Anolis sagrei: one gene and its partners. The protein of the gene in region 3 interacts with the protein of the main gene of each other region in a pairwise test. Links are inferred from orthologs where the notes say so. Each region holds a gene or a part of one and is shown on either strand. Other genes may lie near its edges.

The links.
Region 1: the proteins of MEOX2 (region 3) and SHFL interact in binary tests that used the Homo sapiens proteins (3 or more experiments, as listed by UniProt). The two-hybrid records come from large-scale screens. The link is inferred for Anolis sagrei from reciprocal best matches to the Homo sapiens genes MEOX2 and SHFL.
Region 2: the proteins of MEOX2 (region 3) and MAPKBP1 interact in binary tests that used the Homo sapiens proteins (3 or more experiments, as listed by UniProt). The two-hybrid records come from large-scale screens. The link is inferred for Anolis sagrei from reciprocal best matches to the Homo sapiens genes MEOX2 and MAPKBP1.
Region 4: the proteins of MEOX2 (region 3) and PRKAB2 interact in binary tests that used the Homo sapiens proteins (3 or more experiments, as listed by UniProt). The link is inferred for Anolis sagrei from reciprocal best matches to the Homo sapiens genes MEOX2 and PRKAB2.

The regions. Positions count from the first base shown.
Region 1 is NC_090022.1:172,322,746-172,330,463, forward strand, and holds the start of SHFL (shiftless antiviral inhibitor of ribosomal frameshifting protein), read right to left. Parts: upstream 3,003-7,718; 5' UTR 2,893-3,002; coding exon 2,863-2,892; intron 1-2,862.
Region 2 is NC_090021.1:288,090,444-288,097,943, forward strand, and holds the start of MAPKBP1 (mitogen-activated protein kinase-binding protein 1), read right to left. Parts: upstream 3,019-7,500; 5' UTR 2,720-3,018; intron 1-2,719. UniProt on the Homo sapiens protein: Negative regulator of NOD2 function. It down-regulates NOD2-induced processes such as activation of NF-kappa-B signaling, IL8 secretion and antibacterial response. Involved in JNK signaling pathway.
Region 3 is NC_090026.1:96,461,763-96,469,210, forward strand, and holds the start of MEOX2 (homeobox protein MOX-2), read left to right. Parts: upstream 1-4,435; 5' UTR 4,436-5,099; coding exon 5,100-5,655; intron 5,656-7,448. UniProt on the Homo sapiens protein: Mesodermal transcription factor that plays a key role in somitogenesis and somitogenesis and limb muscle differentiation. Required during limb development for normal appendicular muscle formation and for the normal regulation of myogenic genes.
Region 4 is NC_090024.1:132,489,018-132,496,703, forward strand, and holds the start of PRKAB2 (5'-AMP-activated protein kinase subunit beta-2), read right to left. Parts: upstream 3,001-7,686; 5' UTR 2,891-3,000; intron 2,723-2,890; exon of another isoform or gene 2,598-2,722; intron 1-2,597. Other genes in the region: FMO5 (flavin-containing monooxygenase 5), read right to left, coding at 6,477-6,819. UniProt on the Homo sapiens protein: Non-catalytic subunit of AMP-activated protein kinase (AMPK), an energy sensor protein kinase that plays a key role in regulating cellular energy metabolism.

The DNA of each region.
Region 1 (7,718 bases), on a different chromosome or scaffold from region 3:
CTTGAGCCTCCCTCAGTGCTCTGGGACCCTGGGAGCTATAGTTTTACAAGGTCTTGAGCCTTCTCTGTCGAAGAAGGCTGGTCCCGTCCCAAACTATAACCCTCAGATTCAATCTGACACCCCTTGAGCTTCCCTCAGTGCTCTGGAACCCTGGGAGCTGTAGTTTTACAAGGTCTTGATCCTTTTCTGCCCAGGAGAGCTGGTCCCACTCCAAACTATAACCCTGGGATTCAATCTGATATCCCTTGAGCTGCCCTCAGTGTTCTGGCATCCTGGGATCTGTAGTTGTACAAGGTCTTAAGTTTTTTTTCCCCAAGAGGGCTGGTCCTGCCCCAAACTACAACTCCAGGATTCAATCTGACACCCATTGAGCTGCCCTTAGTGCTTTGGAATCTGTAGTTTTGCAAGGTCTTGAGCCTTCTCTGCCCCAAGAGAGCTGGTCCCACCTCAAACTATAGCTCCAGGATTCATTCTCACACCCTTTGAGCTGCTCTCAGTGCTCTGGCATCCGGGAAGTTGTAGTTTTACAAGATCTTGAGCCTTCTCTTCCCTCTCATCTCAAATTATAACCCCCAGGTTCAATCTGACACTCTTTAAGCTGTCCTCCATGCTCTGGGACTCTGAGAGCTGTCATTTTACAAGGTTTTGATCCTTTTCTGCCCAGGAGAGCTGGTCCCACCCCAAACTATAACCCCAGCATTCAATCTGATACCCCTTGAGCTTCCCTCAGTATTCTGGGATCTGTAGTTTTACAAGGTCTTTAGCTTTCTTTGCCAAAGAGAGCTGCTCTCGCCCCAAACTACAACTCCAGGATTCAATCGATTGAGGTGCCCTTAGTGCTTTGGAATCTGTAGTTTTACAAGGTCTTGAGCCTTCTCTGCCCCAAGAGAGCGGGTCCCACCCCAAACTATAGCTCCAGAATTCAATCTGACACTCCTTGAGCTGCCCTCGGTGCTCTGCGACCCTGGGAGCTGTAGTTTTGCAAGTTTTGACCCTTTTCTACCTAATAGAGCTAGTCCCACCCCAAACTATAGCTCCAAGATTCATTCTCACACCCTTTGCGCTGCCCTTAGTGCTCTGGAATCTGTAGTTTTACAAAGTCGTGAGCCTTCTCTGCCCCAAGAGAGCTAGTCCCACCCCAACTATAGCTCCAGGATTCATTCTGACACCCTTTGAGCTCCATATTTGATTCTGCCACCCTTTCAGCTGCCCTCCATATTCTAGCATCCGGGAAGCTGTAGTTTTGCAAGGTCTCGAGCCTTATCTGCCCCAAGAGAGCTGGTCCCACCCCAAACTATAACTCCAGAATTCATTCTGCCACCCTTTGAGCTGTCCTCAGTGCTCTGGCATCCGGGAAGCTGTAGTTTTACAAGGTCTGGAGCCTTCTCTGTCCAAGAGAGCTAGTCCCACCCCAAACTATAGCTCCAGGAATCATTCTGACACCCTTTGAGCTGCGCTCAGTGCTCTGTTATCAGGGAGCTGTAGTTTTACAAGGTTTGGAGCCTTTTCTGCCCCAGGAGAGCTGGTCCCACCCCCAAACTATAACTCCAGGTTTGATTCTGACACCTTTTGAGCTGCCCTCAGTACTCTGGCATCCTGGAAGCTGTAGTTTTACAAGATCTTGAGCCTTCTCTGCACCAAGAGAGCTGGTCCCACTCTAAACTATAGCTCCAGGATCCATTCTGACACCCTTTGAGCTGCCCTCAGTGCTCTGGCATCTGGGAAGCTATAGTTTTACAAGGTCTGGAGCATTCTCTGTCCAAGAGAGCTGGTCCCACCCCAAACTATAACTCCAAGATTAATTCTGACACCCTTTGAACTGCTCTCAGTGCTCTGATATCCGGGAAGCTGTAGTTTTACAAGGTCTGGAGCCTTCTCTGTCCAAGAGAGCTGGTCCCACCCCAAACTATAACTCCAAGATTAATTCTGACACCCTTTGAGCTGCCCTCAGTGTTCTGTCATCCGGGAAGCTGTAGTTTTACAAGATCTTGAGCCTTCTCTGCCCCAAGAGAGCTGGTCCCACCCCAAACTATAGCTCCAGGATTCATTCTGACACCCTTTGACTGCCCTCAGTGCTTGGGCATCCAGGGAGCTGTAGTTTTACAAGGTCTGGACCCTTCTCTGCCCCAAGAAAGCTGGTCCCACCCCAAACTATAACTCCAGGATTAATTCTCACACCCTTTGAGCTGCCCTCAGTGCTCTGGCATCCGGGAAGCTGTAGTTTTACAAGGTCTGGACCCTTCTCTGCCCCAAGAAAGCTGGTCCCACCCCAAACTATAACTCCAGGATTAATTCTCACACCCTTTGAGCTGCCCTCAGTGCTCTGGCATCCGGGAAGCTGTAGTTTTACAAGGTCTGGAGCTTTCTCCGCCCCAAGAGAGCTGGTCCCACCCCAAACTATAGCTCCAGGATCCATTCTGACACTCTTTGAGCTGCCCTCAGTACTCTGGCATCCGGGAAGCTGTAGTTTTACAAGGTCTGGAGCCTTCTCTTCCCAAGAGAGCAGGTCCCACCACAACTATAGCTCCAGGATTCATTCTGACACCCTTTGAGCTGCCCTCAGTACTCTGGCATCCGGGAAGCTATAGTTTTACAAGGTCTGGAGCCTTCTCTTCCCAAGAGAGCTGGTCCCACCTTAAACTATAGCTCCAGGATTCATTCTGCCACCATTTGAGCTGACCTCAGTGCTCTGGCATCTGGGAGCTGTAGTTTTACAAGGACTGGAGCCTTCTCTTCCCAAGAGAAGCCATGGGAGTCTGAAGTGGGGTCATCCTGCATGAATCCTGCACTCTCTACCTCTCTAGGGCCCTTCCCCTTAAGCGCCTCTCTTGCTGGACGTCCTGAAGGGAGGTGGCCACTCACCTCCACCTCCTCTTGCAGGGAGTGGGCCATGGCTGGCCAGGGAGGACCACCGACCCAGGGAGCAGGGCAACCGCTCTGCTGGAGTCTCAGCCTTTGCTTGGAGTCGGGCAGCAGCAAGAGAGGTGGGGCAGGAAACCCTGCCAGACTTGTATCAGTTTCGTTTTCGTTTCCTGGGAGGGATGCCGGAAGGAATGCTCAAGCTTGGCTTCATTGTTTACTATAGGCATGCTTCTGCAACCCAGCACTGCAAGTTTGTGTTTTTCTTTCCCTCCTTCCAATGCCAGTGCTTCCAAAATCAAACAAACCTTCCAGCTACATGACATGGAGGAACAAAGGGCTGGGGAGATGCAAAAAGAATGTGGGAAAAGCAGTTTCTTTCACAGAGGCCCCATTTACACTAACCATTTAAGGCAGACTGAAAGCCAAAACCAAGGTTACAACATCTGTTATAGAACTCCAGTATGCTGATGACAACGTCGTCTATGCACATTCAGAAGAAGACCTACAAGCCACTCTAAACACCTTTGCAGAAGCGTACGAGAAGCTCGGCCTGTCATTGAATATCGGGAAAACCAAAGTGCTGTTCCAGCAGACACCAGCCAACCCCGCTCCATTGCCAGTGATACAGCTTAATGGTGTAACATTAGAAAATGTTGATCATTTCTGCTACCTTGACAGCCACCTCTCCACCAAAGTCAACACCGACACTGACAACACCGCCTGAGCTCTGCGAGCGCAGCATTTTTCCGAATGAAGCAGAGAATATTTGAGGACCGGGACATCCGTAGGGATACCAAGGTGCTTGTTTATAGAGCTATTGACTTCCCAACCCTGCTATATGCCTGTGAGACATGGACTGTCTACAGATGTCACATGCAACTCCTGGAACAATTCCATCAGCACTGCCTCCGGAAAACCCTGCAAATCTCTTGGGAAGACAGGCGGACAAACGTCAGCATGCTGGAAGAAGCAAAGACCACCAGCATTGAAGCGATGGTCCTCCACCATCAATTCCGCTGGACTGGCCACGTCCGGATGCCCGACCACCGTCTCCCAAAGCAGTTGCTCTACTTCGAACTCAAGAACGGAAAATGGAATAATGTATTGTCGAAGGCTTTCATGGCTGGAATCACTAGGTTCTTGTGGGTTTTTTCGGGCTATAGAGCCATGTTCTAGAGGCATTTCTCTTGACGTTTCTATCAGAAACGTCAGAAATGCCTCTAGAACATGGCTCTATAGCCCGAAAAAAACCCACAAGAACCTGGAAATTGGAATGTTGGTGGGCAGGAAAAGAGATTTAAAGACGGGCTCAGAGCCAACCTTAAAAACTCTGGCATAGACACTGAGAACTGGGAAGCCCTGGCCCTTGACCACTCCAGCTGGAGGTCAGCTGTGACCAGCAGTGCTGCAGAATTTGAAGAGGCACGAATGGAGGGTGAAAGGGAGAAGCGTGCCAAGAGGAAGGCGCGTCAAGCCAACCCCGACCGAGACCGCCTTCCACCTGGAAACCAATGCCCTCACTGCAGAAGAAGATGCAGAGCAAGAATAGGGCTCCACAGCCACATACGGACCCACAAGAACACTGGAAGACAATCCTCCTCGGAAAACGAGGGATCGCCTAAGTAAGTAAAGTAAGCCCATGCAAACAAAGATCCGCCTAGTCAAAGCCATGGTATTCCCTGTAGTAACCTACGGATGTGAGAGCTGGACCTTAGGGAAGGCTGAGCGAAGGAAGATAGATGCTTTTGAGCTGTGGTGCTGGAGGAAAGTGCTGAGAGTGCCGTGGACTGCGAGAAGATCCAACCAGTCCATCCTCCAGGAAATAAAGCCCGACTGCTCACTGGAGGGAAGGGTACTAGAGACAAAGTTGAAGTACTTTGGCCCTGTTTACCTCTCCGAACGTATTCTCCCCTACGAACCATCAAGACCATTAAGATCGTCTGGAGGGGCCCTGCTCTCGGTCCCACCGCCTGCACAAGCACGGCTGGTGGGGACGAGGAACAGGGCCTTCTCGATGGTGGCCCCTCGACTTTGGAACTCCCTGCCATTAGAGATCAGAACTGCCCCCTCCCTCATGACGTTCAGGAAACTTACAAAGACCTGGTTGTGGAATGCGGCATTTGACAACTGATTTAATTCTTTGCCCACATGAAAGGAGGATGATGAATGGTATTGTGATGGTGTTGGACGATTTGGCTCTTTTAACTGTGATGATAATGTTTTAATGTGTATGGTGCTGATATTTTAATCGTGTTATGAAGTGGCATTGTGTTGTTATTGTATATTCTTTGTATGTTAACACATGTTGTGAACCGGTCCGAATCCCTCTTTGAAGGTGAGAGGGTCGGTATATAAAACCTCGAAATAATAAATAAATCATGAGGAGACAGCAAAGCCTGGAGAAGACAATTATGCTGGGGAAAGTGGAAGGCAAAAGGAAGAGGGGCCGACCAAGGGCAAGATGGATGGATGGCATCCTTGAAGTGACTGGACTGACCTTGAAGGAGCTGGGGGTGGTGACGGCCGACAGGGAGCTCTGGTGTGGGCTGGTCCATGAGGTCACGAAGAGTCGGAGACGACTGAACGAATGAACAACAACAACAACATTCAAACATGCAATCCACGAACGTAATCCAGGCTTTTCCAATGATCATTGCACATTGTTCCAAGTCTACCTATTGCACAGGTTCTCTAAAGGCTTGGTCACAAAGCCACGTTTTCCCTCTCTTGTGGAAGGTGAGAAGTGAGGTGGCTGATCTAACATCGCTGGGAAGGAAAAGTAGAAGGAAAAGCAATGGAGGAGCTGGTTGTGAGAAGACAATTCCAGAGGGAGCACTGTGGACCTGATTTTCAAAATTGGGCTCCAGTTTTGTTGGTTGTTAACATTTTTAACAACCAACAAAACTAGCAGCCAATAGTGAAAGGACCAAGGCAGAGACATCTCCAGTTCATCCCCTGTTTGGGTATCAGCCAGCACGTCAACGACTTAAATCTAGAAATAGTTTTCTAAGATCTACAGAGACACTCACTGGGACACCTCAGCAAGCGAGAGTCCAAAAGTGGCAGGCTCAAACCCAGAACCTCAACCAATGGCTGATACCAAATGAGAGACTCCCTCCTGGGCACACAGAAGACTGGGCGACTTGGAAGGCGCTGAACAGACTGCGCTCTGGCACCACGAGATGCAGAGCCAACCTCAAGAAATGGGGCTACAAAGTGGAATCCACGACATGCAAGTGTGGAGAAGAGCAAAACACTGACCACCTGCTGCAATGCACCCTGAGCCCTGCCACATGCACAATGGAGGACCTTCTTGCAGCAACACCAGAAGCACTCCAAGTGGCCAGATACTGGTCAAAGCACATTTAATCAACTACCAAACTCACCAATTTTGTATTTTGTCTGTTTGTTTTCTTTGTTCTGTTAGAAATGTAATATAATTGACTGGCTACCCTAACACGACAAATAAATAAATGTAAGAAGGCCACTCCTACTGCCATACACTTCAAGAAAATCTGGGAAGCTGTCCAGAAGCTGAAAGCACGTCAACGACTTAAATCTAGAAATAGTTTTCTAAGATCTACAGAGACACTCGCTGGAACACCTCAGCAAGCGAGAGTCCAAAAGTGGCAGGCTCAAACCCAGAACCTCAACCAATGGCTGATACCAAATAAGAGACTCCCCCCTGGGCACACAGAGGACTGGGCGACCTGGAAGGCATTGAATAGACTGCGCTCTGGCACCACGAGATGCAGAGCCAACCTTCAGAAATGGGGCTACAAAGTGGAGTCCTCGACATGCGAGTGTGGAGAAGAGCAAACCACTGACCACCTGCTGCAGTGCAGCCTGATCCCTGCCACATGCGCCATGGAGGACCTTCTTGCAGCAACACCAGAAGCACTCCAAGTGGCCAGATACTGGTCAAAGGACATTTAACCAACTACCAAATTCACAAGTTTTGTATTGTGTCTGTTTGTTTGCTTTGTTAGAAATGTAATATAATGGACTGGTTGCTCTGACACGACAAATAAATAAATAACATTTTTGAAAGGCTTCAACATTGCGGGTAATGCCGTGGATGTAGCGTACCTGGATTTCAGTAAGGCCTTCGACAAGGTCCCCCATGACCTTCTGGCAAGGAAACTAGTCCAATGTGGGCTAGGCAAAACTACAGTGAGGTAGATCTGTAATTGGTTAAGTGGACGAACACAGAGAGTGCTCACTAATGCTTCCTCTTCATCTTGGAAAGAAGTGACAAGTGGAGTGCCGCAGGGTCTTGTCCTGGGCCCGGTCCTGTTCAACATCTTTATTAATGACTTAGATGAAGGGCTAGAAGGCATGATCATCAAGTTTGCAGACGACACCAAATTGGGAGGGATAGCCAATAGTCCAGAGGACAGGAGCAGAATTCAAAACGATCTTGACAGATTAGAGAGATGGGCCAAAACTAACAAAATGAAGTTCAACAGTGACAAATGCAAGATACTCCACTTTGGCAGAAAAAATAAAATGCAAAGATACAGAATGGGTGACGCCTGGCTCGAGAGCAGTACGTGTGAAAAAGATCTTGGAGTCCTTGTGGACAACAAGTTAAACATGAGCCAACAATGTGATGTGGCGGCAAAAAAAGCCAATGGGATTTTGGCCTGCATCAATAGGAGCATAGTGTCTAGATCTAAGGAAGTAATGCTACCCCTCTATTCTGCTTTGGTTAGACCACACCTGGAATATTGTGTCCAATTCTGGGCACCACAATTCAAGAGAGATATTGACAAGCTGGAATGTGTCCAGAGGAGGGCAACTAAAATGATCAAGGGTCTGGAGAACAAGCCCTATGAGGAGCGGCTTAGGGAACT
Region 2 (7,500 bases), on a different chromosome or scaffold from region 3:
ATAGTTCACCTACAATCAAAGTGCATCCAGAACCCAACTAACAATAGAATTGGTCCAAACTTCCCACATAGATCCCCCATGGCCAACAGAAAACACTGTGTTTTCTGATGGTCTTTGGCGACCCCTCTGACACCCCCCTAGCGCCCCTGCCCCGGATCTCGACCCCCAGGTTGGGAAACTCTGGACTAGAAGATGGTCCTTGCGGTCTCTTGCAACTCCGTGATTCTATGAAAATGTATTATTATAGTAAACTCTCAATTAACCATAACTCAAACAATTGGAACTTTCAAGCAACTGGCAAAAAATCAAAGAAATAATACTTCATTCACAAAATTATTTTAATAATACAATAAAACTGTGTTACATTAAGGTTACTGTCATATGTTTTCATTTGCTTTTTGTTACTGTATTTCAATATCCAATCAATAGGAAGTATGGTATGGTTTGATTAGAGAATCAAGCTTATTTTTAATAGTAACTCTCAAGCAACCAGAAACTACATGCATTCAACATTTACCAATCCACATGGACACCAGTCAAGGGAGAGTCTACCCTATTAGCTGTAGTACAGCAAACTACAAATCCCAGAATTCTACTGCGCGAGCCATGGCAGTTAAAAGTCATGTCAAACTGTTATAATTCTGCATTGTGGTCTGAAGTAACAATGCATGCACACCTTGCTGCAGTCTTTAAACTGGCAATAACAGAAAACAGAAGCCAGCCCTACAATCAAAGTCTGGCAGCCAGATGAAGACAGCAGCATTTTCATGCAGGTTTTCTATTTCAACCTTCAGCGTATATACACTTTTTTGCACACACACACACACACACCCCGCCTACCCTTATCCCTTCTTGATGGAGGGGAAAATCACCAGGTGCCAAGAGAAGCAGAAGCCTCAGGCCTCAAACCCTCTTATTCTTTTGGTGACAAAGCTCAGTAAAGGTAGAAAAGCTCAGCAAATACTTTCCAAATTCCCTGGAAGACATTCACAGTGCCTTTGACTCCTCCTGCCCACAAAGGCAAGAATTGCAAGTCAGCAGCGCAGAGGGAGAATAAACCAACCTTAAGCATAAGGAGGAGAAAGCTGAAGAGTCTACCAGAAAACTATATATATGTGTTTGCCTTCTTTTTGTCCCTTTAAAATAGTGTGCGCACCTGTGTTTTAATTTAAAGGGACAGAAAGAATATATGTGTGTGTGTGTAGCGACAGAAGGGAGACATAGTGGGTATATTTATAAAAAGTAAAGGTTCCCCCTGACATTAAGTCTAATTGTGTCTGACTCTGGGGTGGTGCTCACCTCCATTTCTAAGTTGAAGAGCTGGCATTCTCCGTAGACACCTCCAAGGTCATGTGGCCGGCATGACTGCATGGAGCGCCGTTACCTTCCCGCCGGAGCGGTACCTATTGATCTACTCACATTTGCATGTTTTTGAACTGCTAGGTTGGCAGAAGCTGTGGCTAACAGCGTGAGTTCACCCCACTCTCCAGATTCGAACCACCAAACCTTTCAGTCAGCAAGTTCAGCAGCTCAGCAGTTTAGCCCGCTGTGCAGGGGGGGGGGGCGCTCCATGCAGTCATGCTGGCCACATGACCTTGGAGGTGTCTACGGACAATGCTGGCTCTTCGGCTTAGAAATGGAGATGAACACCACACCCCAGAGTCAGACATGACTGGACTTAATGTCAGGGGACTACCTTTACCTTTACCTTATATATATATATGGGACAGAAAAAGGCTATATATATAGATATAGATAGATATATATCTTAAAGGAACAGAATGAAGGCATTATAAACACACACATATATATGAAACTTAAAGGCACAGAAGTAAGGCACAGTGTATATGTGGATATACACTATATATATACATATATATATATATATATATATAGGGACAAAAGAACATACATATATGTTAGATTGACATCTAAAGAAACAGAATGAAGACATATACAGGGACAAAAAAAGGCATATTATACATATATATACACATATATACATAATGTGTGTGTGTGTATATATATAGAGAGAGAGAGAGAGAATAGGGCTCCACAGTCACCTACGAACCCACCGCCAGGACACCGAAGTTGGAGGACCATCATCCTCGGACTACGAGGGATCGCCTAAGTAAGTAAGTAATATATAGATACACAATCATATATATATATATAATGTGTATGTGTGTGTGCGTGTGTATATATATGTAATGTGTATATGATGCCTTGTTCCTGTCCCTGTATATGTGTTTGTGTATTTAAACGGACAGAAGGGCTATCTATCTATCTATCTATATATATATATATATATATATATGGGTACAGAAACAAGGCATTATATATACACACACACATATACACTATGCCTTATTTCTGTCCCTACTCACACACACACACACACACACATATATATAATTTAGAGCGTCAGAAGGAAGGCACATTTTCTTATTTTTATCTATAGATTTCGATTTAAATCAGGCATGGGCCAACTTGGGCCCTCCTTCCAGGTGTTTTGGACTTGAACTCCCACCATTCCTAACAGCCTCAGGCCCCTTCCTTTTCCCCCTCAGCCGCTTAAGCGGCTGAGGGGGAAAAGGAAAGGGCCTGAGGCTGTTAGGAATGGTGGGAGTTCAAGTCCAAAACACCTGGAAAGAGGGCCCAAGTTGGCCCATGCCTGATTTAAAGAGACAGGCAGGAATGAATCCCAAACCTTTGTTACCTGGGCGAAGAGGCAGCCTGGCTTTAAGGGCGGGAGAGGGACGACGGGAGAGAGGCTTTCCCCTCCTGGATGTCCATCCCTGCAGCCCGGCCTTCCTCCTCTGGAAAGGCTTCCCAATCCAATCGTAGAGAGCTGCTTCGGGGAGCGATAGGGAGAGGAGGCGGTGCGGGGAGAGAGAGAGAGAGAAGCCTTCAAACCACTCGGAGAAGCAGTCTGTCAGGGATTTCAAAAATGCAGAGGGAGGGAGGAAGCGGTGGCGCAACGCGGGTCCATTCCAGCCCTTCCTCCGCCTCCTTTCCTTCCTTGCAGGCTCGGGGCTCCCTTCTTCCCTCCCGCTCCGTGCTTCCCCTCCCGTCGTCTCTCGGCGTCTGGCTGCGGGATTCACCCTGACAGCTCCCAGCCAGCCAGAGTCCGACGCGGCTACGGTGGCCCACGCGGACCAAATCGCTAAACCGAGGGAGGAGGAGAGCGCTGCGAAGGGAGGGAGGGGGAAGAGCGGCAAATCTGCCAAGAGGAAAAATCTGCATCGAGAGAAAGGGTGGGCGCTTCAAGGTCCACCCCCCTGGAAGGAAGAATGCGGTTGTTTTTTTTTCTGGAGAAAGAAAAGCTCAGCACCATCACACGCTCAACACACCCCCTCCGATTGCCTCCTCTACACTGTAGAATTAACGCAGTTTGACACCGCTTGAAGTGCCACGGCTCATTCCTATAGAATCCTTGGAGTTGTAGCATGGATCTTTGTCTTTACTCTCCTGGTTTGTTCTTGGAAGGTAAAGACAAAGATCCGAATCCGGGGAGTGGGGTGAGCTCACGCTGTTAGCCCCAGCTTCTGCCAACCTAGCAGTTCGAAATCCTTGGAGTTGTAGCATGGATCTTTGTCTTTACTCTCCTGGCTTCTTCTTGGAAGGTAAAGACAAAATCCGAATCCGGAGAGTGGGGTGAGCTCACGCTGTTAGCCCCAGCTTCTGCCAACCTAGCAGTTCGAAAAAACACGCAAATGTGAGTAGATCAATAGGCACCACTCTGCCGGGAAGGTAACGGCGCTCCATGCAGTCATGCTGGCCACATGACCTTGGAGGTGTCTATGGGCAACGCCCGCAATTCGGCTTAGAAATGGAGGGGGGCACCAAACCCCAGAGTCAGACACTGGAATTAATGTCAGGGGAAAACCTTTACCTTACCTTGGAGTTGTAGCTTGGATCTTTGTCTTTACTCTCCATGCCAGCCACATGACCTTGGAGGTGCCTATGGACAAAGACGGCTCTTCGGCACCAACCCCCAGAGTCGGACACAACTAGACTTAATGTCAGTGGAAAACCTTTACCTTTACCTAAAGACAAAGATCCACCCAGAGGAAAAGTTTTCTTACCATGCATCGGGGAACCACTCAGGCATGTAGCGGGGGGGGGGGGGGGGCGCTCAGGGAACTTCAGCCCCCCCCCCCCCCCCCCCCCCCGAAATTCTCATGGTGGTTCGCAAAAAGGCCTTACTGGTGCATTACTTAAACTGTTATGTTTATTCATATCATTATCTCATCACCATACTCAATATATCCCATATGCATGGGGGTATTGGGGTAATGATACAAAAGGTTTGCTAGGCTAGACCCTCTTTCACTCAGACTCAGCCCCCCCCCCCCCGACCCTTCCCCCTGAAAAAAATTCAGCCCCCCCCCCCCCCCGAAAGAAAATCCTGGCTATGGGCCTGAGTCAACTGATCACATAGGGAAGCTGATGAGGAAACACAACCTACAACAGTATCTACAGACCCACTAAGAATATCCAGTGCTAATCCGTGATCAATTGCATATATTCCATATTGAAAATTGCTGCACTGCCTTGTTTTTCAAAAGCCTGCTCCCAGAGCCAGGTTTTTACTCTTCTTCTGAAGGTTAGGAGAGAGGGGGCTGGTCTGATGTCACTAGGGAAGGAGTTCCACCACTGAGAAGGCCCTGTCCCTCATCTCCACCAGCCACATTTGCAAAGAAGGTGGGATTGAGAGCAAGGCCTCCACAGATGATCTTAGTGTCTGAAGTGGTTCATAGGAGGAGATACGTTCAGACAGGTAGACTGGGCTGTAAATGTTTATGGCTTTATAGACTAAAGCCAGCACTTGAATAGTATGGGGCATAATATTAGTTAGGGCTAGTTTTAATTTTAACTCTCAAGCAACCAGAAACTACATTTATCCAGCATCTACCTATCTCCATGGGTGCCGATTAACTGTACTTTACTGTACTTTCTTCCAAATGCAGTTCAGCAATAAGACCTGCCATTTGATCGCAGTATATAGACCAGGGCTTGAGAATTACAGCCCTACAAATAGTGTGTTTAAATTCCTATCAGCCCTTGCTAGTATTGCCAATGGAGAGGAATGATGGGAGTCATGGGGCCCTAAGCTTCTCCCCTCTTGATATGAACCACCTTGAGTTGCTGATAGGCTGAGAAAGGCGGTATACAAATACAGTAAATAAACTATGTATGTTGCATAAAACCTCTAAGATTCCAGCAATGAAATTGATGCATGGTGATTATTGACATAGAATCACAGAGTTGGAAGAGACCATGTGGGCCATCCAATCCAACCCCCTGCGAAGAAGCAAGAAAATCACATTGAAAGCACCCCTGACAGATAGCCATCCAGCCTCTGCTTAAAAGCCTCCTAAAAAGGAGCCCCCACCACACTCCAGGGCAGGGACTTCCACTGCTGAACAGGTCTCACAGTCAAGAAGTTCTTCCTAACGTTCAGGTGGAATCTCCTTTCCTGTAGTTTGAAGCCATTGCTCCGTGTCCTAGTCTCCAGGGCAGCAGAAAACAAGCCTGTTCCCTCCTCCCTATGACTTCCCCTCACATATTTATACATGGCCATCATGTCTTCTCTCAGCCTTCTCTTCTTTAGGCTAAACATGCCTGGATCTTTAAGCTGCTCCTCATAGGGTTTGTTCTCCAGACCCTTGACCATTTGAGTCACCCTCCTCTGGACACATTCCAGCTTAGAGTCAACATCTCTCATCAGTTGTGGTGTCAGTATTCCAGATGTGGTCTGACCAAGGCAGAATAGAGGGGTATCATGACTTCCCTGGATCTAGATATTATACTCTTATTTATGCAGGCAAAAATCCCATTGGCTTTTTTTTTTGCTGCTGCATGACATTGTTGGCTCATGTTTAACTTGTTGTCCATGAGGACTCCAAGATCTTTTTCACACATATTGCTTTCAAGCCAGGCGTCCCCCATTCTGTATCTTTGCATTTCATTGTTTCTACCTAATTGGAGTATCTTGCATTTGTTACTGTTGAACTTCATTTTGTTAGTTTTGGCCCATCTCTCTAATGTGTTCACATTGTTTTGAATTCTGCTCCTGTCTTCTGAGGTATTGGCTATCCTTCCCAATTTGGTGTTGTCTGCAAACTTGATGATCATGCCTTCTAACGGCTTCATCTAAGTCAGTGGTTCTCAACCTGTGGGTCCCCAAATGTTTTGGCCTTCAACTCTCAGAAACCCTAACAGCTGGTAAACCGGTTGGAATTTCTGGGAGTTGTAGGCCAAAACACCTGGGGACCCACAGGTTGAAAATCGCTGATCTAAGTCATTAATACAGATGTTGAACAGGACCGGGGCAGGACAGAACCCTTCAACATGTGTTGAAGACATCCGGCCCTATAACAAGGAGCATCTTATTGAACGTCCTCCCCATGGAATCCCCCTCCTCCTCCAAATTTCCTTCAAAGTCTGTTCCATAGCATCCTACCAAGCTCCAGATTTTGAAGATGCACAGAAAGGGAGAAATCTATATCCCTCCCCCCCACCCTCCCTGCACTAATGGAAACCATTTTGTCAAATTGGCAGCAAACAAAGAAAGGCAATAATCTCACAAACACACAGGAAATAAATAGGACAGATCCTTTGATGTTCTTTTGTGTGTAGCCAGGAGCCCTTGTCACTTCCCTCATATGCCAGCTGTAGCACTTTATTCCTGCTCAGCATTAAACCAGAGCTGCTCATGTTCAAAAAGAATCAGGGACTCCACCAGAATACTGTGTGTCCCAAGAATTAAACAGCACAGCTGAGGCAACAGGCAATGAAGAAGCACTTTGCTCTCATACTGATTGCCTGGTCACAAGGAGGCAGCGCATGACATCGATTGATCACTTCCACATTCCCCTTTTTGGATGGCCACAATGTCTAGGAAAATAAATACCATACATTCCAAAGAGCTTGTCATCCAAACAAATTAAGATGAATCTTCTGCAACATAATGACAGGCCAACCGTAATAGATTACAAGGCAGCCTCAGGGCAGCAAATGGATAGTTACTGTACTATATTTTGTTTGAATCACAAAGGCAAATGAAGCATTTCCCCATCACATCTCAAAATAATTTGATCAGCTTTATTTGCTGTTTACCTTCAGTTGGAAACAGAAAAAATGATAATTTTATGTCTGGCATCAATCAGCAGAATGACTTAGGGTGCATCTACACTGTAAAATTATTGCAGTGTAACACCACTTTAATAGCCACAACTTAATGCTATGAAATCCTAAGAGTTATAGTTTAATATTGCACCAGTGCTCCTTGTCAGAGAAGGGTAAAGCTCTTCTAAAATGACAAATCCCATGATACCATTGAGCCATGGCAGTTTAAAGTAGTGTTAAACTCCATTAATTGTACCATGTAGATGCACTCTTTGACATCCCTGAGCCCTTAACACTTCACATGTCAGTTTGTTTTAATGTAATTGTGTTGTAATGGTAATTTGAGGAGCAGTTAATTGCTAGACC
Region 3 (7,448 bases):
GATCAGGCATGGGCAAACTTCAGTCCTCTATCTATCTATCTATCCATCCATCCATCCATCCATCCATTTATCTATACAACTAGATATAGGAAAGGGGAAGAGATACAGCTGGTAGATAGATAGATAGATAGATAGATAGATAGATAGATAGATAGATAGATAGATAGATAGATAGATAGATAGATAGATAGAACAGGCATGGGCAAACGTCAGTCCTCCATCTATCTGTCTATCCATCCATCCATTATCTATACAACTAGATATAGGAAAGGGGGGAGATATATAGTTGGTACATAGATAGATAGATACAGCATGGTTAAACTTTGCTTCTCTGTCGATTTCCATGTATCTATCTATCATCTATCTATCTATCTATCTATCTATCTATCTATCTATAAACACAGACATAGGGATATATACAGTTGGCAGATACTAGATATATAGATAGATCAGGCATGGACAAACCGGTCCTCTATATTTATCTATCTATACAAATATATATATATATAGAGAGAGAGAGAGAGAGAGTTGGTAGATAGATCTATAGATAGATCTATAGATAGATCAGGCATGGGCAAACTTCAGTCCTCTATCTATCTATCTATTCCCTATATATATATATATAGAGAGAGAGAGAGAGAGAGAGAGAGAGAGATACAATTGCTAGATAGATCAGGCATGGGAAAACTTTTTTCCTCCAGATGTTTTGGACTTCAACTCTCACAATTCCTAACAGGCAGTAGGTTGTTAGGAATTGTGGGAGTTGAAATCCAAAACAGTTGAATACAAAAATATATTATTTTATGTTTATTTCGAATATTTGTACCTCACCCTTCTCTACCCTGGAAGGGGGACTCGGGGCAGCTGAGATAGAAGAAAGAGATGGGTGGATAGATTAGATAGATAAATAAATAAATAGAAAGTCAGTTAAAATGTTCATAATAAAACGTAAAAACAATTCACATCACAATTTAATATATTATGTTGGCATAGGGGTAAGAGATACCTTTGGATAATGGTTTTAGGGATCAGGTGGGGGGGGGGGGTGCCAACAAGCTCTGGCATGCCATTGTAGAGGCTGTCCTGGATTCAAAAAGAAAAGGCAGACTTGTCTGAGACCACAGATCATTCCTAAGCTTATAAAACCAAAGAATCTATATGGGAGGATATAGATTGGTGTTCTCTCAATTTGTTTCAAGGAAACCTCTGCATATGTAGCATCCTTTCATGTTCTAAGTATGAAAACCATAAAATCAATATGTGTCAAGATGGTAATCAAGTAGCTTGACAGGTGTGGGGAGCCCTGCCGTAAAATGAATTGTCCACACTTGTAATTGCACTGCAGCGGAAGTGCTAGTCCACAGCTGTTTGCCATATTGAAATGTATTCACTTGACTGAAACAGACCTCTGGCCAAGGGGCTTATTTTGGGCCAGAGAGAGAGAGAGAGCAAGTTTAAACTCTCCAGGAAACTTCATTTCTAGACTCTTTGGATCTGAATCCAGTGCACACGGGTTTCTGTCTATCCCTATTAGCACATTTCTTCAGAGACACCCCAGTGTGAAAGGCATCTTGATCTGAGGGATCTCTTTCATTGTTTCCACAGGCTACTTTTACACATCATAGAACTGGTCCAAGTTATCCATCTTCTAAATAAAAAATCAACAGTCGCTCCAGGACAAGACTGAGACATCTCTTTTCAGCACTAGTTAAACTATAAACTATTTTGCTGACAGACATGAGGAGGCTGGTAAAGATTGTATAAATGAAGTTGTGGTTTTTAAAGGCGATTGTTTTGAAATATATGGAGCATGACTCTTGGAGTGAGACTGAGAGCTCCTATTTGACAAGAAAATAATTCCAGGATAGTCTTAGATTTGTGACTAGCTTTATAACAATCACTGTTTTTGTTTAAAAGTTGGAAAAGAGCACAAAATTACTTCATCGAAATCAATTCTCTGTATATGTGGTACAGTAAATAGCTGTACACCCAATCCACCAAAATGCTGGGGAGTAAGAATTCTAATATTTAGCAAGGGGAAAAATATAACATTTTTATGGCACATCACATATGTTACCTCAATAATCCTTATAACCTAGTAAACTCAGCTGATGTTATTATTCCCATATTGTGAACAGGAGGAATGCTTAGGCCAGGGATAGTGGCTTCCCTAAGGTCATTTTATGTCTTCAAGGCTGAAGGAAGTTTAGAATCATGATGAACTTCCCATATTATAACTCTTTTCTCACAGTTCATACTCCTGCAATTCAATATCATGCAGGCTTACTGAGAAGTAAATCCCATTGAATGTAGTGAGAATTCCTCCCTAGTAAATATGTTTAGAATTGTATCCTTAACCAATATCCTGCACCAGGGAAACTAGCACTTAAAAAAAAACCTCTTGAGGCAATGAAGCAGAGAAGATTTCATTTACCTTTTTTACTTGCCAGGAAAAGATATCCTGAGAGTTGCAATATAAAATATTTATGCAGAATTCTCCCCATGGATTTTGGAGAGAAATGTGAGGATGCGAAGCTTATTTTCCCTGAGCTGCTGGGTCCAGTGAATCCAGTATTTAATATGGCCCTGATATCCCAGGCTTGCTCCCAGCTTGAGACAAGGAAAGTTCATAAGGCCATATCACACATTAGAAAACAGCTTATGCTGACGATTCATGGAAATGAAAACTAATATTCAAAAATATACCTGAGATAAAATAGCCTTTAGGGGCAACCATAAAAATCAGTGGGTTTAAATTAAGTCTTTTCCAGCTGCAGCTTTGTTTTGAACCTTCTTGTGATTCTGAAGTGTGTGTATGTTTGTCTTGGGGTATTGCAGTTTTAGCTGAAAGGTCTTGAGGGTCCTTGGAGAAACATCTACAACCTCATCAAATAGCTGGTTCTGGACCTCCATGTAAAGAGGTTCTTAGTCTCACCATATACATCTTTAAACCATGTGTAAATTGTCTCATTGATGACTATGAATGTAGGTGTATATTTGTGGCGGGAAGCTCAATTGGCCAGGCTTCTCTTTAGTCAGTGTCCATGTTGCATTAAATAGACTTGTGTCCCAGATACTGGCCTACATATGAGGAAGGAGGTCCCAGGACTAAATTGTTTACTGTGACATGTGATGGGCTATTGTTCATCAGTTCATGAGTGAGATCATGGAAAGGAAATTTGATGACTGTGTTGAAATGAAGAGAAGAATAAAGACCAAAAAGTCTGTATTGTTCATAAGAAGTTCCATCATGCTGACTCTTTTCAATGAGACATCTCACAACAGTGTCAGATAGCTGCTAAGGTCTCACAACCAGTCCCTAACCTAACTACCTGTCTCTGGTCTCTATTCTAGTAGAGCTTCTGAACTCAAGATTTTGGGGGTTTCCATTAGTGGGAGAACATGTGCAAAGGGAAGTGTGGAGAAACTGGAACCAGTTTACCACCTTTTTCCTAAGCAGCATGGTTTCAGTGGCAGCTGAACCTGAGGAACAGTTCAAAATTTTAGTCTAAAATGTAGCAGAGGTATCCAAGGTGCTGAATGGTGTTTCCAAAACAGCTTTGGACATTGGATAGTTCTTTCAAATATAGGGTTAGAGCCTGGACTAGATTCACCACTCTTGCTGAAAGGGGACACATTTGATGCCAGTATGAGTATACGGAGCTTTAGTCAAACCATTCTGTCCTCTGGAAGGTGAACAGAAGAATTTATGCAGCAGGAGATACAACCTAGTTCTAGCTGCCACCTCTGCCTGCTTACTTGGTCACTTTTAGTTCTAGGTGACATAACAAAGGCAATGGAGTCTGCTGGGTCCATGCAACCTTGAAGAATGGTGTAAATGGGCAAAGCAGAAAGGATTGAAACACGAGACCAATTAAGCAGGTCTTGATTTCTCAGTTGTGGCACATTGAGCTCCTTGATCTGGTGGCATAAAGTGAAAGATCAGAACCAAGTTCCATCCAGAAAGATTTGCCCAGCTTTTCCCCATTCAACAATTTCAACTCGACACTTCTGTCCAGTGGAAAGGGCAAATTGTTTGGAGAAGGCCCCATCCCATGTTGTTCATGGAGGACAATATCATGGAAGTAGGAGGAGATGCCTTCTTTATCCAGGGTCTGCTGCTTAGGAGAGAATCAATTGGGGAGTGAGGGAAGTCACACAGAACCAAGAATCATCCAGAAAGATTTGCCCAGATTTCCCCTACCCAACAACTTCAACTCAGCACTCCTGTCCAGTGAAAGGGGCAGATGGTTTGGAGAAGGTCCAGTCCCATGTTGTTCATGGAGAACAATATCATGGAAGTAGGAGGAGACGCTGCTTAGGAGAACCAATTGGGGGAGTGAGGGAAGTGACACTCTGAGCCGCATCCTGCACCACCCAAGAGAGGTTTAGTCAATGGAAGTGCCCATTAGCCATTGCTTCCCCGTCCTTCCTTGGGTAGTAGTGATGAGGCCCAGAGGGAAGGAGCAGCAGGAGTGGCTCCAGCTGAGAGTGAGAGGGATCTATTGTGGGGGGAGCCAAGAGAGTTGGGCTGCCAGAAGTTGAGAGGAGGACCCTGGCTAAGAAGGCATGAGGACAGCCCCCCTGGGGTCAGGGCTTGGGTCCTCCGAGTGGCCGGTGGCAGGGCTGTGAGGCTGAAGCGGGGAGGCCGCTGCCTGTGGTCAGTGCGCCGTGCAGCCTAAGCCAGCCCCCGGCTCACGTTACACACTCCTGTATTTATAACCTCGGCGAGCCGCTTCCCCCGCGGAGGAGCAGCCACAACAGCAGCAGCAGCAGCACTCGGGACCACCTCCTTTTTGCCGGCAGAGCCGAGCCCCGCGCCCCTTTCCCCCCACCTCCGAGCCAAGCCAGTGAAGCCACCGCCGGGACCGGTTGCGCGCCGAGGACTTGGATTATTATTCCCGGTTGCGCTCCCTTGGCCCGCCTCGCCTTGCCTGGACGTGCCCTGCCTGGCTTCGGGGGTGGCTGGCAGGAGAGCCGAGGGGCAGGAGGAGGAGGAGGAGGGGGGCGAGGAGGACCCGGGCACCAGCGCCTGGTGGTTCTGGGCCCGCGGCGGGCTTTCGGGGCCGGAGGCGCGCGGGTCCCGCTTGGTGCATGCCATGGACCACACGCTCTTCGGCTGCCTGCGCAGCCCCCACCATGCCCCCGGCCAGGGCTTGCACCCCTTCTCGCAGTCCGCCCTCGCCTTGCACGGCCGCTCGGACCACCACATGTCCTACCCGGAGCTCTCGGCCTCCTCCTCCTCCTGCATCATAGCCGGGTACCCCGGCGAGGAGGGCATGTTCGGCAGCCAGCACCACAGGGGGCATCACCACCACCATCACCATCACCACCATCACCAACAGCAGCAGCAGCCGCAACAGCCGCCGCCTCACCAGGCTTTGCAAACGAATTGGCACATTCCGCAGATGGCTTCGCCGCCGCCGCCCCCTCCACCTCCTCCTCCGCCGCCCGCCTCGTCCAGGCATAGCCTGTGCCTCCAGCCCGACTCGGGGGGACCCCCGGAGCTGGGCAATAGCCCCCCGGGACTGTGCTCGAACTCGCCGAGCTTGGGAAGCAGCACCCCGACGGGCGCGCCGGGAGATTATGGCAGGCAGGCGCTGTCCCCGGTGGAGGCCGAGAAGCGCGTCGGCAAGCGGAAAAGCGACAGCTCAGGTAAGGAAGGGCACACAAGGGGCTTCTCCCTGCGAGACGGGAAGGGGAGGTGGAGAGGGGCAGCCCGGGATGGGCGAATCGCCCAAGACTCCTCCTGGCCACTCCTGGCCTGGTGTCACTTTTGGGGGGCGCAAAAAGCTTTGTATGACGGCTAAGGCATAGGCCATGCGGTTGAACCATGAAATCGCTCGTCCACACTTCCCAACAGGCCAGAGGGGGGAACTCTCGGGGAGTTTGGACTCGTGTGCGCCTCTGACACCTGGGTTTCCCTTCCGGGATTCCCCACTTGGAAAAGAGAAGCGCTTTCCCCACTCCATCAGCCAGTTTATTTCCCTAGTTTCTTTTTTCAGCCAGTGCTTAACTCTCGAGAAGTTGGCATTTCTTCTTTTGGTTTATTTTATACAGGATGTTTTAATGCTATACTTCTTTGACTGGGAGTAAATCCCAATGAGATAAATGGGATTTACGTCTATGTAGACATGGATTCCTATCCATTACAAAGCTTTATTTGGTTTGTTTTGTAGAGGAAGCCATAATCCTATGGCTGGGATAAATCCCAATGAAATAAATGAGGTTCATGTCTATATAGCAGGCATGGCCAAATTTAAGCCCTCCACGTGTTTTGGACTTCAACTCCCACAATTCCTAACAGCCTCAGGCCCTTCCCTTCACTTAAGCGGCTGAGGGGGGAAAGGAAGGGCCCTGAGGCTATTAGGAATGGTGGGAGTTGGAGTCCACAACACCTGGAGGACCCAAGTTTGCCCATGCCTGCTATATAGGCACAGATTTGTCTCCACTACAATGTTGTAACATACACGTCCCTCTCCTCTGTCGTTTTTACAAGTTATGTGTTCTGTATTTAATAGCTTCTGTAATTTCCAGCTTTTACATGCTACATACAATTTTATATACAGGGTCCTGAACATGTTTGGAAAAGGATTTGAATTATTAATCTACTAATTAGTGAAATCTAAGAAAATGTCCCTCTATTATAATCAATTTCAGTTCCTTACTGAAGCATATTTACATAGGATACACACTCACATACTCAGTTAAGGATTTATTGTGCTAGTAATATGCCTGTTTGATTTTGAAAGTAAATCGAGGTGTCACTTTGGCTATATATATATGTGTGTACTAGGGTTGGATTAAATGTGCTACCAGCATTCCAAGCAGTTTTGTATGACAGATGTTGGCCCCATGATAAAACTGCTAAAGGTAAGTTATACAGACAGGCACATGCAAAAGAAAAGGAAGTTGTGGTTAGAAAGAGAAAGTAATAGCATTTCCCTTGTATTATTAGAAATACAAGGGAAGCCATGATCATGTTTCCTTTAAATGCAAGCTGAATAATGAAAAAAATAGTTTTCTTTCTGCATTTTCTATATTTAACAGACTTATTTCTATTTTCAATAATTTCCCTATACCAATTATAACACTTTTTCAGAAGTTGACAGGTTCTCATACTACATACCTAGTGGTTTATAAAGAAATTGGTTTTTCCAAATCATCACTAAATATGTAACATGTATGAAGAAAATTCAAATTTCTAGGGCATATAATTTTAAATTGGCAGATGGGTAAGTGTAATAACTTAAAATTCTATTACCTAAAAATGGAAAGGAAATTTTAATTTCACTTTGTTGTTATACTTCAAGTCTCAAATATGTAAACTTAAATTACAATGAATTACAGTATAATCCACAACACAATGAAGCAATTTTCATTTATTTGATATGTGAATATTGTTGTTCTTAATATTACCGCTTTATACTCATACTCATAATGAAAAA
Region 4 (7,686 bases), on a different chromosome or scaffold from region 3:
CAGAATCATAGAGCTGGAAGAGACCATATGTGTCATCTAGTCCAACCCCCACCTTCCAGGAAAGCATAATCAGTATCCCATACAGCCTGTTTAAAAATGTCCAAGGAAGGAGCCTCTGCCACACTCTGAAGCAGAGAATTCCACTGCTGAACAGCTCGTAAAATCAGGAAGTTCTTCCTAATGTCTAAGTGGAATCTCCTTTCCTATAATCTGAACCCATTGCTCCAAGTCCTAGTTTCAAGGGCAGCAGAAAACAAACCTGCTCTCGCTTTTCATTATGACATTCTTTCACATATTTATACATGGCCATCATGTCTCCTCTCAGCATTCTCTTCTTCAGGCTAAACATGCCCAGCTCTTTAAACCGCTCCTCACAGATACTTACAATCTCAAGAACTTTGATCATTTTAGAGGCCCTCCTCTGGACACCTTCCAGCTTGTCAATATTGCTTTTGAAGTGGCCATGGTGGAACTGACCATGGTGATACACACCTTAGTCACATCCATTTTAGATTACTGTATCGCACTCTAGGTAGGTCTGTGCTAGAGGGGCGTTCAGAAACTTCAACTGGTGCAAAGGTCAGCTGCCAGATTGCTCACAGGAGCAGAGTATAGGGAAAGAACTACCCCTCTCCTAAAACAACTACACTGGCTGCCAGTTTGTTTGTGGACGCAATTCAAGGTGCTGGCTTTAATCTATAAAGCCCTAAACAGTTGGGGCCCAGCGTACTTATTGGACTGCATCTCCTCCTATGAGCCCATATGAGCCCTAAGGTAATCAGGAGAGGCCCTATTCTCGGTCCCACCATCATCTCAAGCACGGCTGGTGAGAATAAGAGAGAGCCTTTTCAATGGTGGCCCCGCAGTTCTGGAACTCCCTCCCAAAAATGGTTAGTACAGCCCCCTCACTGCTGTTATTTCGGAAGCAAGTTGGGGAGACCAGTTATTTCTACTGGTCTCCCCAACGAAGACCAGTAGATTGACAGGCATTCTGATGTGCAATATGTCAACTATATAGTAGACCGTCAGTAACTGGTTTGTTTCATGGCATAAATTAATAGGACATTACATGGGTTTAACTGGTATGTTTTTAATTTATGTTGCTATGCTAGTTTTATGCTAGCTGTCATAGGTAATGGGAGTTTAATGTTTTAATGTCTTAAATTGTTAATTTCTCATTAGTTGGAGTTCATGTTTGTATTTTTTGTTTGTAATTGTCTTGATTTTACATGCTTTATGCCTCTTTGAGTACCATCGCAGGAGAAAAGCGGGATAGAAATAAATATAATAATAATAACAACAACAACAACAGCAACAGCAACAACAATAGTGGTGCCCAGAATTGGAGACAGTATTCCAACTGAGGTCTAACCAAAGCAGAATACAAAGGCATCATGACTTTCCTCAATCTAGACACTAGATTCCTTTTGATGTAGCCCAAAATCCCATTGGCTTTGTTGGTTCATGTTCAACTTGTTGTCCACGAAGACTCCAAGATCTGTCTCACATGGACTGTTCTTGAACTAAGCGTCACACATCCTGTAGCTTTGCATTTCATGTTTTTCATCAGGTGCTCTGCTATGGCTGACTTCTCTGGATGAAGTAGTCTGCAGTGCCTTTCATGTTCCTTGATTCGTGTTTGGGCAATGCTGTGTTTGGTGGTCCCTATGTAGACTTGTCCACAGCTACATGGTACACGGTAGACTCCTGCAGAAGTGAGAGGATCCCTCTTGTCCTTTACTGAACGTAGCATTTGTTGGATTTTTTGGTGGGTCTGTAGATAGTTTGTATGTTGTGTTTCCTCATAAATCCACCTGATGAACCAACCTGGACACAGCATTTTATTTGAGAACACAGAAATGCTGGACCACTCTCACAACCACCACGTCAGGCTACACAGAGAAGCCATTGAAATACATAAGCATGTGGACAATTTCAACAGAAAGGAGGAAACCATGAAAATGAACAAAATCTGGCTACCAGTATTAAAACTCTAAAATTACAACAGCACAACAACAGAGAGGAAACAAACAAGGACATCTAATTACTTCTCAACAAAGTTTGCTCTAGGCACTGTCAGGCCATCAAATGCTAATCAAGGTGGTCAGTTGAAACATTCACACCTAGCTCCAGCAGACAAGAGTCCTTTGTCCCACCCTGGTCATTCCACAGATATATAAACCCTTTTTCCTAGTTCCAACAGACCTCACTACCTCTGAGGATGCTTGCCATAGATGCAGGCGAAACGTCAGGAGAGAATGCCTCTAGACCATGGCCATATACCCCGAAAAAACCTACAACAACCCAGTGATTCCGGCCATGAAAGCCTTCGACAATACATTAATAAAGATGTTGAACAGAGCTGGGCGCATCTCTGAGAGATAGAATCATATAGTTGGAAGAGACCTCATGGGCCAGCCAGTCCAACCCCCTGCCAAGAAGCAGGAAAAATGCATTCAAAGCACCCCCGACAGATGGCCATCCAGCCTCTGTTTCAAAACTTCCAAAGAAGGAGCCTTTACCACACTCTGGGGCAGAGAGTTCCACTGCTGAACGGCTCTCACAGTCAGGAAGTATAGACATTCCACTTGCCTCACCATCAACAGAACATCTGAGGATGCCTGCCACAGATGCAGGCGAAACGTCAGGAGAGAATGCTACAGGAACATGGCCATACAACCCGAAAAAGCTCACAGCAACCCAGTGTTTTCGACCATAAAAGCCTTCGACAACACAATTAGAGCCTTGTTTGAATGTCCTCAGGCCGGGGGGGGGGGGGTTGAGCCTTGTCCCAAAAGCCGCCATGGCAGCCCTGCCTTGCCCTTCCTTCCCCTCCCGGAGCAACTTCGGGCCCTTCCCGAAGAAGTCTGAGGAGGAGCTCTGCACTCACCCTCAGGGCGGCCTCCTCCTCCTCCTCCTCCTCCTCTTCGGGCAAGATGGCAGTGGAGAAAAAAGAACTGCGCATGCGCATGACGCTGCTCGGCTTGCCTCTCCTGCCCCGAAAACAGAGCGAGCGAGAGCGGGAAGCGGAAAAGGGAAAATATGTTCCGCTTCCGGTGTTGAGGCCTTCTCTGGGAATGGGAATGGCGGACGTGTAACAGTCTAGGAGTCGGCAGTCAATGAAGTAAATAGTTATACCTTATGTGAGCCTTATCACGGCCTCAGGGAGAGAAGGATAGGAATCGGGACGCCTCCCCCTCACTCCCTCCCTCTCCAGTTCTACCGCCTGATTTGTGTCCATTCCCTTCCTGCATATAGAGCAGGCCTTCTCCTGCAGTGTGGGTCTCCAACTCCCAGAAGCCCTCGCCAGCTTCTTCAATGGTTAGGAATTCTGGGAGTTGGAGGCCCAAATAGCTAGTTGGAGGAGGCCTAGGATGGAAGTGTTTGTCCAATGCAAACTGCAGAGGGACATTGCTGGCACAGGATATTTTGAAAAACCAAAATCTCCATAACCTTTTGGGAAACAAATGGCATTCACAACCATTTGAAAATCATAATCTTTCGTACAAGTATGCTCTTCCAAAGAGCCAAAAACCCGTTTGAGTAAAATTTTGTCTTCGGTGGTATATATCCACATACCCAAAACTGTTGTAACAGTCTTGGACAGCAATGGTTCCCAAAGTGACCCATTTAAGTGACTCAAAACGATCTTGACAGACTAGAGAGATGGGCCAAAACTAACAAAATGAAGTTCAACAGTGAAAAATGCAAGATACTGCACTTTGGCAGGAAAAACAAAATGCAAAGATATAGAATGGGGGACAATGCCTGGCTCAAGAGCAGTATGTGTGAAAAAGATCTTGGAGTCCCCGTGGACAACAAGTTAAACATGAGCCAACAATGTGATGTGGCGGCAAAAAAAGCCAGTGGGATTTTGGCCTGCATCAATAAGAGCATAGTGTCTAGATCTAGGGAAGTAATGCTACCCCTCTATTCTGCTTTGGTTAGACCACACCTGGAATATTGTGTCCAATTCTGGGCACCACAATTGAAGAGAGATGACGAAGATTTCACGAAGATTTCGGAGACTCACGAAGATTTCTACAAGCTGGAATGTGTCCAGAGGAGGGCGACTAAAATGATCAAGGGTCTGGAGAACAAGCCCTATGAGGAGCGGCTTAAAGAGCTGGGCATGTTTAGCCTGAAGAAGAGAAGGCTGAGAGGAGATATGATAGCAATGTATAAATATGTGAGAGGAAGCCACAGGGAGGAGGGAGCAAGCTTGTTTTCTGCTTCCCTGCACGACAAAATGGCTTCAAACTAAAAGAAAGGAGATTCCATCTGAACATGAGGAAGAACTTCCTGACTGTGAGAGCCGTTCAGCAGTGGAACTCTCTGCCCCGGAGTGTGATGGAGCCTCCTTCTTTGGAAGGTTTTAAACAGAGGCTGGATGGCCATCCATCAGGGGTGATTTGAATGCAATATTCCTGCTTCTTGGCAGGGGGTTGGACTGGATGGCCCATGAGGTCTCTTCCAACTCTTTGATTCTATGATTCTAAGGTGGAATCAGATGTCAAACGGATGTGTTATTGGCCCAACATTTATTTTCCATATTCATCGCTATGATACTTCATCTTGTTGACGGGAAGCTTCCCACCGGAGTGGAAATCATCTATCGGACAGATGGCAAGCTATTTAACCTCAGCAGACTGAAAGCCAAAACCAAGGTTACAACAACATGTTATAGAACTCCAGTATGCTGATGACAACGTCGTCTCTACACATTCAGAAGACCTACAAGCCACTCTAAACACCTTGCAGAAGCATACGAGAAGCTCAGCCTGTCATTAAGCATTGAGAAAACCAAAGTGCTTTTCCAGCAGTCACCAGCCAATCTCTCTCCAATGCCAGAAATACAGCTTAATGGGATCGCCTAAGTAAGTATATCCACATGTACTTGTGCAGTTGTTAGACTGATAACCTAGTTGTCTCTGATCTATTTGGAACAGAGATTATGCCAGGTTTTGTGCTGTGTTTTAACCTTTTTTAAACTTTGAATGTATTTTAATCATGTTATTATGTTAGTAATTTTAATCTAAATCATTTTAAAGTGAACATGCTTGTTTATAAAGCTATTGTCCTTCCAACTGTATTGTATGCCTGCAAAACATAGACCATCTACAAACATCACTCTCAATTTCTGGAAATATTTCATCAGAGTAGCCTTCGAAAAATCCTGCAAATCTCTTGGGAAGAACGGCGAACAAATATCAGCATTCTGGAAGAAGCAAAGACCTCAAGCATTGAAGTGGTGATCCTTCGCCTTTCCATACTCCAAAAAGCAGGGAAGATTCAACTTCTGTAACTCGGTTTTTTGTTCCTGTTTGACTACTCTCTTTAACTACATTTGAAAGGGCATTATACAGAGACTCACGAAGATTTCTACTCCTAAGGGAGGACAAAGAACTGACTAACTTCTTTGCATAAGAAAGCGATACCTAAGACTGAAGTAGGAAATAAATAAAGCAAGTTACACATACATTTAAAGAGGGCTACGTTATTATTTTATGAATATATGTATTAGCTTTCAGTATGGACTATACATTAATTTCTTTTTTTACTCAGTAATTTTATTAAATTAAAGATAAACAGAAATGGGGAAAACACATTCATTTGAAAATCAAACTCAACCACACAGTTGAATTACATAAAACTGTATAAAATCACCAATACATCGTTCCATGCACCATGCGTCATCAGTTCATCATTCCATAAACTTAAATGAGTAGTTGGAGGAACAAACATATTTTTGCTTTTCTGGATAAAAGAAATAAAGAAAAACCAGGTTGCTGTAGCATTTCTAACACTTTTTTTGCTTAGTTTTTCAGTTAATGTCACATTCCATTATTTATTTATTTATTGGTTCTACAACTGAAAATTCCACTGTATTTTTCCCAGTTTTTTGCAATTACCATCTGAGCTGACAAAGCCATGATAGAAAATAGGAATTTATGAGAAAAGTACAATTTCTGTAAACACTGATAGTACAGTGGCTGGAAGCATTATAACTTTGAGAATAGCACATACCAGGTGGGAGATATGGGAAACAGAAGAGAAACTGCTTTCATTGCCAGATCAATAATGTCTTCCAAGCAGCTTATGATCAGGCATGTCAACTTCCTCCCAACAAAGATCACATTTTCTGCAAACCTCCATGCTACCATGGTGCCTGCAGCCATTCTATCCCACTATTGTGTCAGCATAATATGCCAGCTAATAGTATCATAGCTAATTACAGATAATACAAAAAGTTAGAAAAGAATGATTTTTTAACTTCTTACGTAGGCAAAGATAGGTTTGCACTTATTAGAAGCTATGATTTAATATAAAATGTACATTGTCTTAACTGGATTTTGAGTTGTGTTGTTATATATATATATATATATATATATATATATATATGCTATCTTTTTGTTAAAAAGAAGATAGAGTCTCACTACTTCCACTTGCTTTTTGTCAGTGAAGATCTTTACCATTTAAAAATGAGCAAATAATGCAGCAAAGAGAACAAGAAGGCCAACCATCTTTAACCAAAGGGGCACCAAGACTGTATTTGAGTCATCAGTGGGCCTTGTTTTCAAGGGCTTCAGGACCCGCTCATGCTGGGTCAAGATTGCTTTCCTGGCATCATTCCATTTCCCCGGTCCTTGCAGACGGTATTGATATGGGGTGCATGGTCCAAAGATCACTTCCCAGGCAAGCTTGGGATCTGTCAGAAGGAGAGACCAAACGTTGGGCTTCACTCCAAATTGAGAAGCCACTTCATCCATGTATTCAATGTAGTCTACTTGGACAGTGTGTCGCTGGCTTTTCACATACCTAGCAGGAAAGATGAAATTTTACATATTACATACATAACAACACATTCTGAGGTCAGTGGGGGGTTGAAAGTCCTATTTGCTTCCCTCCCATTGCATTAACCTCATTAAATTTCAGAGCTAAAAAAATTGATTATTGTGCAATAAGCCTCACTAATATAGAATACCTTAATGTCCTAAGATAACGATTGGGCCTAAGTTAAAGTCTTCATCAATGATGATCTTCATATTCATAGGCATGCAGTAGAAGGGGTAGACCGGGACCAGGAAGAGACCACTGAGGTAATTCAGGGCAGGAGGAGATGTGGGAGGAGGAGACAAATTGACTACCATCATAGGAAGGGCAGTAGATTTCTAACAGGCCTGGACTGTCTCCTCTGGTAAGTAACTTGGATATCTATGATGGCAATCCCTCCAGGCTAAAACTGCTGCTGTTAAACGCCAGGTCAGTAAATGGCAAAACATCTATTATCCAGGATTTGATTCTGGAATAACAAGCTGACCTGGCATGTATTACCAAGACTTGGCTGGATGAAGCCAGAGGAGTAAATCTCTACCGTCTCTGACCACTAGTTTCTCGCTGCAGCAGCAGGCTAGGTCTGGGGAGGAGGAGGAGTTGCAGTGGTTTATCGGGATTCCATCTCCCTGACCAGATGCCCTGTCCCACAGTTAGCCTAGTTTGAATGTGTCTATTTAAAGGTGGGCAGCTGGGACAGAATGGATTCTGTGGGTGTACCACCCACCCCGCTGCTCAACAGTCTCCCTACCTGAATTAGCTGGGCTGGTCTCTAGCTTGGCGTTGGAGCCCCATTAGCTGATAGTGCTGATGGACTTCAATGTCGGTAAAATTGAACATAGGAATGGCACA